Drosophila melanogaster: one gene and its partner. The protein of the gene in region 1 purifies or fractionates together with the protein of each later gene. This does not show direct contact. Each region holds a gene or a part of one and is shown on either strand. Other genes may lie near its edges. The genes, in order: Pngl and CG10916.

Region 1 (5,668 bases):
GCATAAAATTATGGTCTTTTTTACTTCCGAAGTGACTCCACCAACAATAAATGTGCGATAAGTTGGAAACGGTGAAGACTGGAGAGCGGACTTTTTTTAAAATTTTTTATTCATTGGTATACTGACGTGTTATCAACAAATTAGAAATGATCTAAGAATCCTTGAAAATGCATTTAAAAATTATGCAGTGTTCTCAAAATTCGACCAAAAGGGTTTTGAAAATACCGCCAAATGCTGTACCTGCACCACAGGGAAATCCATGTTATGAACCGATGTATAGCACTATCATTTCGACGCTAACTTTCAGAATGTATTACACCGTTTACAGAGCGTTTTGCCAAGTGGCCCGGTATCTCAACCTTTTGTTTTTAATTTCATTAACTAGCTGTGAAAGCTTTTGCATTAAGCTATGTAGAGTTTTCCAGGAAGTTGCAATTTCAGAACATATTTCAAAAAGTGTTGTGTGACATGAAATCAGCCTTAAATAACTTTTATATTAAAAGGACATGAATTTAGTTGGATTTTAACAAATATATATATATAAAATACTTAGGTTATTTTTATAATTTGCGTATGTACCTTGCGTACGTATGTGCCTTGCAGCTGAGAATATTTTCTAATGTTGGACAGAAACAGATACAAACAACATTCCCAATAGGGAATTCGCTCTTGATCAACATCTCTAGCCGAGGCGACCTGGCGATGTACTAATGTTAGCATAGACATCAAAGTCTCTGGAACTATATTGGTAGGATGTTAAAACTAATCATGCAAATTCTAGTGACGCCTACTTCGGGCAAGTTTGTTTTATTGTATAACTACGCCACTTTCACTCTAACGTCCACAAGCCACAAAAAACTGGCAAGCCCACAATTTTAAAATGAACTTGTTTTCGATTTCCAATATATGCAATGTATTCATCTAAATATTTTGCAGGAATATAATTTTTTTAATCTTTATTCCACATGTACGCTTCAGAATTGGTTGCTAAAACTGAATAAAGCGAATATCCAGTAATTGGATATCTAATATCCATTATACATTGTCTTTAGCATTCTCCTCTGAGAATAAGTTTTTTTTTCGCATGATTTCAATTGATATTTTTTACAATAACATAATTGTTTATCTCTAATTTAATGAAATAAGTTCGAACGTATCCATTACAGAATCCCTGAAATCTTTATAAGCCGAATATTATTCAGACTAAGAAGTAGCAAGCGTTATTCATAAAGATAACAAATAGCGTTAAAAAATATTGAAATATCTTGCCACATGAAAAACGATCTGTAAATGGTGTAACACATTTAGCAAGTTAACATTGGTATGTTGTTGTACATCGGTTCATGTCACTAATTTGCTTGGTGCGAGTGCTGGAGCTGGCAGTATTTTCAAGTCCCTTTGAGCTGTTCCTACTGTAAGGCGAATTTTCGGAGAGCTGTGCATAATTACTTTATCAATTTTCCAGGATCCTTGCTCTCATAAGCTTTCTCTTTGAGCAACAACAATGTAAACTTAATTTGAAACATGAACCGTCCATTTTAGAACACCCTTAGTCCTAAGTGGATTCCTAAAAATTTTTTTTTATTTTTCTATTACATTATGTATTTAATATATAATTTATATACTTCCAAGACCTAATAAATATTGGGAGTTCCAAATCAAAACATTCTTCGATCGCTACTAACTAAAAATGGTAATTGAATGCTTTGTGTATTTTTAATCCGTTTTTTTAAGCAAAAGATTATTGAGTAATTTTTATAATTTCAACACGTGATAACTTAATATTTCTAAGTAACTTATTTCCTATTTAAAGCAATTGTTGAAATTTAGAGATTTCTTACCTTTTTTAAAATGTCTATAAAAAGGAGATCCAAGCTCTATTTTTCGTGCATAAATTTGTTGTGCATCCCCACAGGAAAAGAACATGTACGCTAGTGGAATCCGGCTGGCTTCATTCAACAAAAAAAAACCTAAAAAACACCTCTTTTGTTATCGCTTGAAGTTCGCTAAACTAATCGCGTTTTCCAACACCATAACCCTTTGTGTCTGCATGATTGTCATCCGCCGGCCACCCCTACTAACGACGAAACCAATCTGATAGTGGCAGCTGGTCATCAACATGGTGGACATAAACTTGGAGTGCGTGCACCAGATCGAACCGAAGACCCGTTCTGCTGGTCAGCAGCAGCAGGAGCGAGGGTTAAAGGAAGCCTACCTGGAAGCGGTCCGCATTCTGTTAGTGCTGCTGGAGAACATCTTGGCGCAGCCGGAGAACTCCATGTTCCGCACCATACGGCAGGAAAACAAAGCTATTAAAGAAAAGCTGCTGTCCTTGCCCGGCTGTGAGAGGTTACTGGAAGCCATAGGCTTCGTACGCGCCCCCAGTTCCAACGCCTACACCTTGCCCACAGAGGTGTCACTGCAGCAGGTGAAGAAGTACAGAGATGCGCTGAGCGAGAGACGCACTGCCTGGCTTAACGGCACAGTGTCAAAAAGTAAGCTTTGGGGGCAAGACTGACATCCTAATCATCATGTCTCGGATTTTAATAGGTCCTCCTCAACAAAGCACCACCAGCACCACGCCCTTGTTCATCAAGCCTTCTGTGGAATATCGCCATAGAATCGCCTTCCCCCGTGTATTGGTAAGCCAGCCATCGAACAAGATAGACCTCTGCTGTATTCTGATGTGGAAGCTTGTTTTCAGCGCACCAATAATAACTTTCTGCAGTCGCTAGAGCTTTATTCCGATGCAGTCATGCAGTACGAGGATAACCTGCTGCTGGCTACTGGCCGCACTCTGATTCCTGTGGAAGAGCTCACCGAAATGGCAAGCGAGAAACTGATAGACATCCAAGATCAAATTGCGTCGGGTGAGCGCCAGGAGAAGGAGCCATGTGTTCGCGACTTGCTGCTTGTGGAGCTGGTAAACTGGTTCAACACGCAGTTCTTCCAGTGGGTAAACAATATACCTTGCCGCGTGTGTGGGAGTGAAGAGAGCAGGCTGCGCCGCACTGAACGGGAAGGTGATATAAGGGTGGAAGTCACCGTTTGCTGCGGCCAGGAGAGCAAGTTCTACCGCTATAACGACATTTCCCAGCTCCTAGTTTCCCGTAAGGGCCGTTGCGGAGAATATGCCAATTGCTTCACATTCCTCTGTCGCGCCCTCGACTACGACGCCCGTATTGTCCACTCGCATTTTGATCACGTCTGGACCGAGGTGTACTCCGAGGCCCAGATGCGTTGGCTCCATGTTGACCCCTCCGAGAACGTTATAGATTCTCCGCTGATGTATCAGCATGGCTGGAAACGTCACATCGACTACATTCTTGCATACTCTAGGGACGACATCCAAGATGTGACTTGGCGCTATACTAATGACCACCAGAAGATTCTACACCTACGAAAGCTGTGCGGGGAAAAAGAAATGGTGCAAACGCTGGACGCGATTCGAGCAAAGCGGCGGCAAAATTGCACCGCCGATCGAAAGTTATTCCTCAGCCAGCGCAATATGTACGAGGTCATCGGCTTGACGCTAGAGCGGTAAGCATTTACAGGAAACTGTTCGAAATTAAATTTAATCCCGTTTCCTGTTTAGTAAGCCGACAGAAAACGAGCTGAAGGGTCGGAGTTCGGGAAGTCTTTCTTGGCGGCAGTCACGTGGAGAGCATACTTTTACCAATGTAAGTGATCTGGCCTGAGACGCGCTGCCGGCCGTTTGTCACCTTTCATGTATTTACAGATATTCGTTTTCAATCTAAGTGCAACCGAACTACAAAAAAGGCAACTTAATGTGCGTTACAGCTGTGCCACCGATACATACGAACGATATGCCAAAGGCGAGTCATGAATTTATTTACAGCACTATGAATGCTTTTAACTTTTATATCCATAGAAGGAGAACACATCACTATTTTGGATAGCTATAAGACATGGCAAAAAGCGCAATTTTCCTCAAAGAACATATTTCGGAAAGTGGAACGCGATTGGAAAATGGCATATTTGGCTAGACTGGAGGATACCGATTGCGGAGAAATTGCCTGGACGTTTGATTTCAGCAAGACCAATTTAAAGGTTAAGTCTTACAACTTAGTTTTCGAGACAAAAACTTTTGGCGACGGAAAAATCAGCGTGACTGTCGATGCCACCGACGGAAGCGCTTCGGTTGAAAATGCCACTGGATTCAAAATAGTGGCCAAACTTACGGGTGGCAAGGGCGATGTAGCATGGCAACACACACAACTGTTCAGGCAGAGTCTTAATTCAAGAGACTATCCCTTCGATCTGCAAGTGCAACTACATTGAAGTCCTCAAAAAATATTTTGGAGAAATTAAAATGTAATTGTAAATAATATAAACGATTCCCAGTCTGGATGAAAATATAATAATCAAAAATGTATATTAAAAATTAAATAAAGGCACATAGTGTCGCTATATGTAATTATACTTGAAGTTTTAAGGACTAACTTTTATGAAATTTCTATATATATAGAACAAGCGCATGGAAACAGTTAATACAAAATATAAGGTTCTTAGATTTGGGTTGCAGTTAATTAAAATATGAATGACAAATTTAGAAACGACATTTAAACTTTATTTTCTTCTATATGTCAATATTTATTTCATCCGGAATCAAAGCAATAAATAATTTTATTGGTCACAATTGCTGGGACGATTTTTCAAGATTTACATATATAGATGAAAAAAGGCAAGACAATTAAAAAGACTAGATCGACTCGGCTAGTGATCCTGATAAAGAATTCATATACTTTGTATATTTTGCTTACAACTAACGGGTATACAAATAGATATCATATGTAGGTATTCAGCGATTTTCAGAGAACCGCGCAGTGATTTTGCCATTTTACATCACCAAAAAGTCATTCGATTATTGCCTGCCCTTTATGAATATCGGTATATTAAAATTTTTCGAAACATGTTTTTCGCTAATCATCTACAACAAAATGCGCATATATATATGAATCTTAAAATTTGGTTGAAACATCAAAACATTTTTGTGTAGAATATACATATATACAAAACTAATGTTACATATATTCTTTTAGCTGTATGGCATTTATCATTGGTACCATTACACTAAATTAGAGTTAGCAAACGGTCATACCTAATTTATTGGTAAGAATGGGTCATTATATTGGTATTGAGAAAAAATAACTGTTTTTATTTTATAATAACATTAAAACGTTAATTTTTAGTACAATAAAAGTTAAAAAATTTCAAGGGCACACGGTTTAACATTTTACATGCGATGACCGTTCTTAAAAAATCGACCAAAATAAAAAAAAGTTTTTCATATTTTCAGGTTCTGGTTACCGAAAATAGTTTTCCTTTAACAATTCCGACCCCAGACTAATTTTTTTTTAATATTTAGCCTCACACTTTTACCGCCTCTTTAGTTTGTGAGCTACCTCTCGATTGTTATATTAAGCTAAGATCGGACAACCATCGCAAATTTTCATTTCTTCGTATATATCACCTTCTTCTGGTACGCTTCGTCACTACGTGGACCAGACGCTATGTGCTATATACTATGTACATACATCTATCCATGTGCTATTTACATATATATTAATTTTGATATTTAATGGCGTGTCTTAGATTTAAGATCTATGGTCAAATATAATCTCCAAAAACGTACTTAGAGGTAAGA
Region 2 (4,532 bases), about 12 Mb from region 1:
GCCATTTCACACGCCGCTCCCAGCCAGACATCCATCAGCCGCAGAACGAGGAGAACTGGCAGGGGCAGGCGGATAAGGGCCAACCACCATCCGGAAAGGAGGAAAGCGAGCTGGTGCGGAATGCCCAGCAGACCACTCAGTACATGAACTATTTGTCGGCCCAGAAATGAGTTTATACACTTTACGAAGTCATCCACATGTACGAAAATTGTTTTTGAAGTCCGTTTAGAAGTTATTTGTTTCGCCTTCGTATATGTTTCCTAATGGATGTGTATATCCACGTAGACTGTTTTCACATTATTTTGTCTTCAACTGAGCTCAAATGTTAAACCAATACAAAACAATTTAGACCAATCACAAAACAAATCCATCTCAAATCCAGGCTTAAAGAATATTAAGCATGCATGCATTACACATTGGAGCCACTAAATTTGTAAATACCAATTATATATATATGAATGTCTTGTGTAGTCCCACACAACCACGCCACATAAACACTCCCACACAAAATACAGTCACACACACTCATTTTTATATTTATATATACAAATTGCTTAGAAACTAAGTACAAAGTCAATGAAAAAACAAAAATAATCCTATTTCTATTGAAAAGTAAAACGCCTGTTGGTGAAATGTTAAAAGCATGTTGAACATATAAAAATTTGTATTTTTAGCTAAATATATACTTATATATTAAATGTCATGTTATAGTGCAGGTTCAGCCGATTTATTAAACGAATTATACAAGCTTACGTATTTTTAAAGCAAATTTTGTGAGGCCCTCTGTTGGAACAACAAAGCCAAGCCGGAGTGCAGAGAAAAACATGAATTGTAGAGTTATACGAGTAGTCTTATATAGATACTTAAACCTCTTTGTTTAGGTATAATCAATATGTTCGCAACATGCGTAGGTTCAAAACACTAATCAGCATATAAATAGCGTCTAACACATTTTTAATAAAACAAAAAAATTGCATTATCATTAATCAAACATTAAAACAAATTCTTTTGAAAACTTTTGAAATCACCAGCAGAATGTCATAGTCTTACCTCCGTATTTACATCACCTGATTGGATGAATGTATTTTCCGAATCCTTGTGGGTGACTCCCCTCGTCTTCTGCGTTTCCACTTTCCAGAACTTCTGTGGGCAACTCTCGGTTGTGCATACTTTACAAAAGCGATAGTAAGAAAGCTTTAAGACCGCAGTTTTTATTAATCTTGCCATTTTGAAGACAGTTGGTCCGTTTTAGATACAATATACAAAAAACCAAGATTTCCGTTTATCGTAGGCATTGATCAAGTCAAGGTCAAAATATTTTTAAACCCGTGTCTAGTCACAAACATCTTCACTTTCCAAACTATTATAAAGAATTGCATACTTGAGGGCAGCAAATAGCAGACTAACTTATACATATGTATATGGGGACTTTTATTTGTACATAATTTGCTGGCAGTCAAAACAAAGTTATCAATTTTTCGCTTGATTAAAGAAATTGGGGACAAATCTTGGCTTACTGATAAGCGAATTTAAAACAAGTACAGAAATAATAGATCCGATTTTTTTCAAAAATAGAATAAGACGTACATATGTATTTATAACACAGATTCATACAATAAGGCATAAGAGATTTAAGATATCAGCAGCATCATCGATCTGCCTGGTCACGTGGGGTGACCACCAGGACTTCGTAGGTGTTTACGCTCACCTCTTGACCATGATGCGGGATGTACATGACCTTGTGGGAAGGATGCACCTTGCCCAGACGCAGGATACCCTGGTAAAGACCACGACCCGTGTAGGTGACCTCACCCAGCTCGGAGTAGCCCGTGTTCAGAGCATCCCGCGGATATGTTCCATGCTGTCCGGGCACCCACTTGTAGTCACAGTCGTTGAGCACCAGGATCTCGACATCATCGGTCAGAGTTCGGGCGCTACAGCTGTGCGAACCGAAGGCAGCCTTCTTTTCCGGTACATAAGGAGCAGGCAGGAGATCGTCGTGGTAATATCCTCTGGCCACATACGTGGGCAGTCCGTCTTCGTTGGTGCCACACTGCACAGCTCCCTCGGGCGGCAGGTGGGCATCCGGTAAGCTGTCTCTGTCCAGATCAATGGGCACCCAATCCATGGCCACCTTGGGCAATTCGGTGTCATCGAACTCCGGGGCCTCGGCGAAGTTTAGGTACAATCGGTGCACGCGTCGTCGGTCGCATGGGTCTCTGCATTGGGGGCAGGTCCTGGACCTATTCAGCCATCGGGTGAGGCAGTCCTTGTGGAATACATGACCGCACCGTGAAGTTGAGAAAATTATGTCGTTGGCCCGGAAAAACTCGTTGCAAATTGCACATAAAATGTTCAGTGAAGGTGATGAGTCATTTGTGGGTGCAGTTTCTGCGATTTTTCCGCCGTTACCTTCCATTTCACTACTATTACTCTCCATAACTACGTCCCTATGGATACTGAGCTTTGAATATGTGTGGCTCTATTCTTCTGTTCCAAATTTATTTCACAACAATGAGCGGAAAACGAAACGATTCGTATCAACTTTCCTGCTTTATTAGAGATGACCTCTGGAGAATACCAAATATACTAGAAATACTGTTATTTTAATAAGTTTGAATCTTGATTGAAAATAATCCTTTAAATATCTTATAGCATTAAGTAAGTAACATTTATATTAAGTAACATTTATATTAGCGTCTTAATCATAACTCTATTTTGGCTAAGATAATGTACTGTGCTATCATTTTGTGGTTATCTACTGGATCTTTACTTTGTATTAAAGTAGCGTTTCAAACCTGCACCAGTACTTCGTTGGTGCCAACGTTAACCTCTTGACCGTGCTGCGGGATGTACATGACCTTATGGGAAGAATGTACCTTGCCCAGACGCATGATGTCCGTCCTCGTTAGTGCCGCACTGCACTGCTTCCTCGGGCGGCAGGTGGGCATCCGATAAGCTGTCTCTGTCCAGATTCATGAGCAGAGGGTGCTCGGGAAAATCCCTGTTATTCTTGTGAGTCAGAGGACAGGCTTTTAACCGGGTACTTCTGCGAACAAGTTCGTCGTGAATGCACCTGTGGCCCATTGTCTGTTCGGGAATTAGTTTCCGAATCCGGTATGGCGATGGGTCATTTGTGGGTGCTTCTCAATTTTCCATTTCTTTGCTGTTACCATCCATATCTGAATCCCTTTACACACTGAGCTTTAAATACGTATGGCGCACTTGTTTTATTTTAAAATTAACGGATACGAGCTTTATAGAGATGGACTTTAAGTAGTGCCAGAAATACTGTTATTTTTATATTTCGTAAGTTTACATGGATCTCAAACGCTTATAACATTTAATTTCAAACTTTTTGCTAATATTTAGGTCTCAAGGTTTCAGAACAATTTTGTTTTATTTTGTTATAGATTTTTACTAAATAGACTAATTAAAGTGTATGCCAGTTGTTAAACAAATGTATTTCATAATCAGGAAGTCAAATATGTAATGTATATATATAATAAATTTGGATTTTATAGCTAAAAACTAATAAAAGGTTCACCTGTGCTCAATAATAGTTTCAAATACTGTTCAGGTCATTTTTAACACAAGAATTTATAAATATTTAAAATTAGCTATCGATAAGTGGCACCAGGTACTTACGATACTCAACCGATCTGGCAACGACGCGCGGTACGTGGCTTCGGGACACGGAAAACAATTTTACGGGAAAAGCTAAACAAATTATGTACAATTCGCAATAAATCCGAAAAGATATAGGGACAAACACCAGACGGAGAAGAGGAGCACAAAAGGCTGCATGAACTGTAAGTGCCAAGGACCAGATACCCGTTTCTTTTTCTGCGTTCACCCGTATCCTTTCACTTTTAATTGCTAAGTTCAACATACAACTACAAATGGATATTCAGCTGATTTACAGCTAGTGCGGTTTCTCAATGGCTCAAATTATGTTTCCCAAACTTGCCGCCACTCCAATGGAAACAAGTTAATGTGCGCATAATATGCAAATTTTCTGTTTGTTTTGGTTTGCCAAAATACAAACAATACATACATATGTACGCAAGTACATAGTACATATCTATGTTTGGCACACACACTGACGCATTAACTGCGCTCTTTGTTTGCCGCCTATAAATAAACGCCAAAAAATGCGTACGAGATTATGCCATTTGTTGCTTTTCAGCTGTGCTTTGCGTACGTCAACAAAGCTTTATTATATAAACAAATACAAAACGGCAATCAGCTGTTTCTAACAAAAAATAAACGGTTGAATAGCCTTGTCATTATCATTGTTTATTGTGCTTTGCCATAGATATATGTATGTATGTACAATGGCCATTTCACTATTAAACGAAATTATTAGAACGGCTAATTAAACTCTCTATCTTTGGCTCTCTTGTGTCTTCTTCCAAGCCCCTCTTTTGAGATATGCACATAATTGACGCAAATATTGCATCATGCGTTTCGAGGATTCCCCTCATTTATTTCACTATATGTATTCATTTGCAGTATTGCTTAAATATGTT

What was found.
Region 2: the proteins of Pngl (region 1) and CG10916 purify together in Drosophila melanogaster (affinity purification with mass spectrometry, with the first as the bait; one large-scale study listed by BioGRID). This does not show direct contact.

The regions. Positions count from the first base shown.
Region 1 is NT_033778.4:6,015,714-6,021,381, forward strand, and holds Pngl (PNGase-like), read left to right. Parts: upstream 1-2,025; 5' UTR 2,026-2,119; coding exon 2,120-2,495; intron 2,496-2,550; coding exon 2,551-2,642; intron 2,643-2,704; coding exon 2,705-3,540; intron 3,541-3,595; coding exon 3,596-3,680; intron 3,681-3,739; coding exon 3,740-3,836; intron 3,837-3,892; coding exon 3,893-4,302; 3' UTR 4,303-4,982; downstream 4,983-5,668. Other genes in the region: Strica (Ser/Thr-rich caspase), read right to left, coding at 5,632-5,668. UniProt on the Drosophila melanogaster protein: Specifically deglycosylates the denatured form of N-linked glycoproteins in the cytoplasm and assists their proteasome-mediated degradation. Cleaves the beta-aspartyl-glucosamine (GlcNAc) of the glycan and the amide side chain of Asn, converting Asn to Asp.
Region 2 is NT_033778.4:18,171,718-18,176,249, reverse strand, and holds CG10916 (uncharacterized protein), read right to left. Parts: upstream 2,582-4,532; 5' UTR 2,441-2,581; coding exon 1,649-2,440; 3' UTR 525-1,648; downstream 1-524. Other genes in the region: CG5726 (uncharacterized protein), read left to right, coding at 1-170.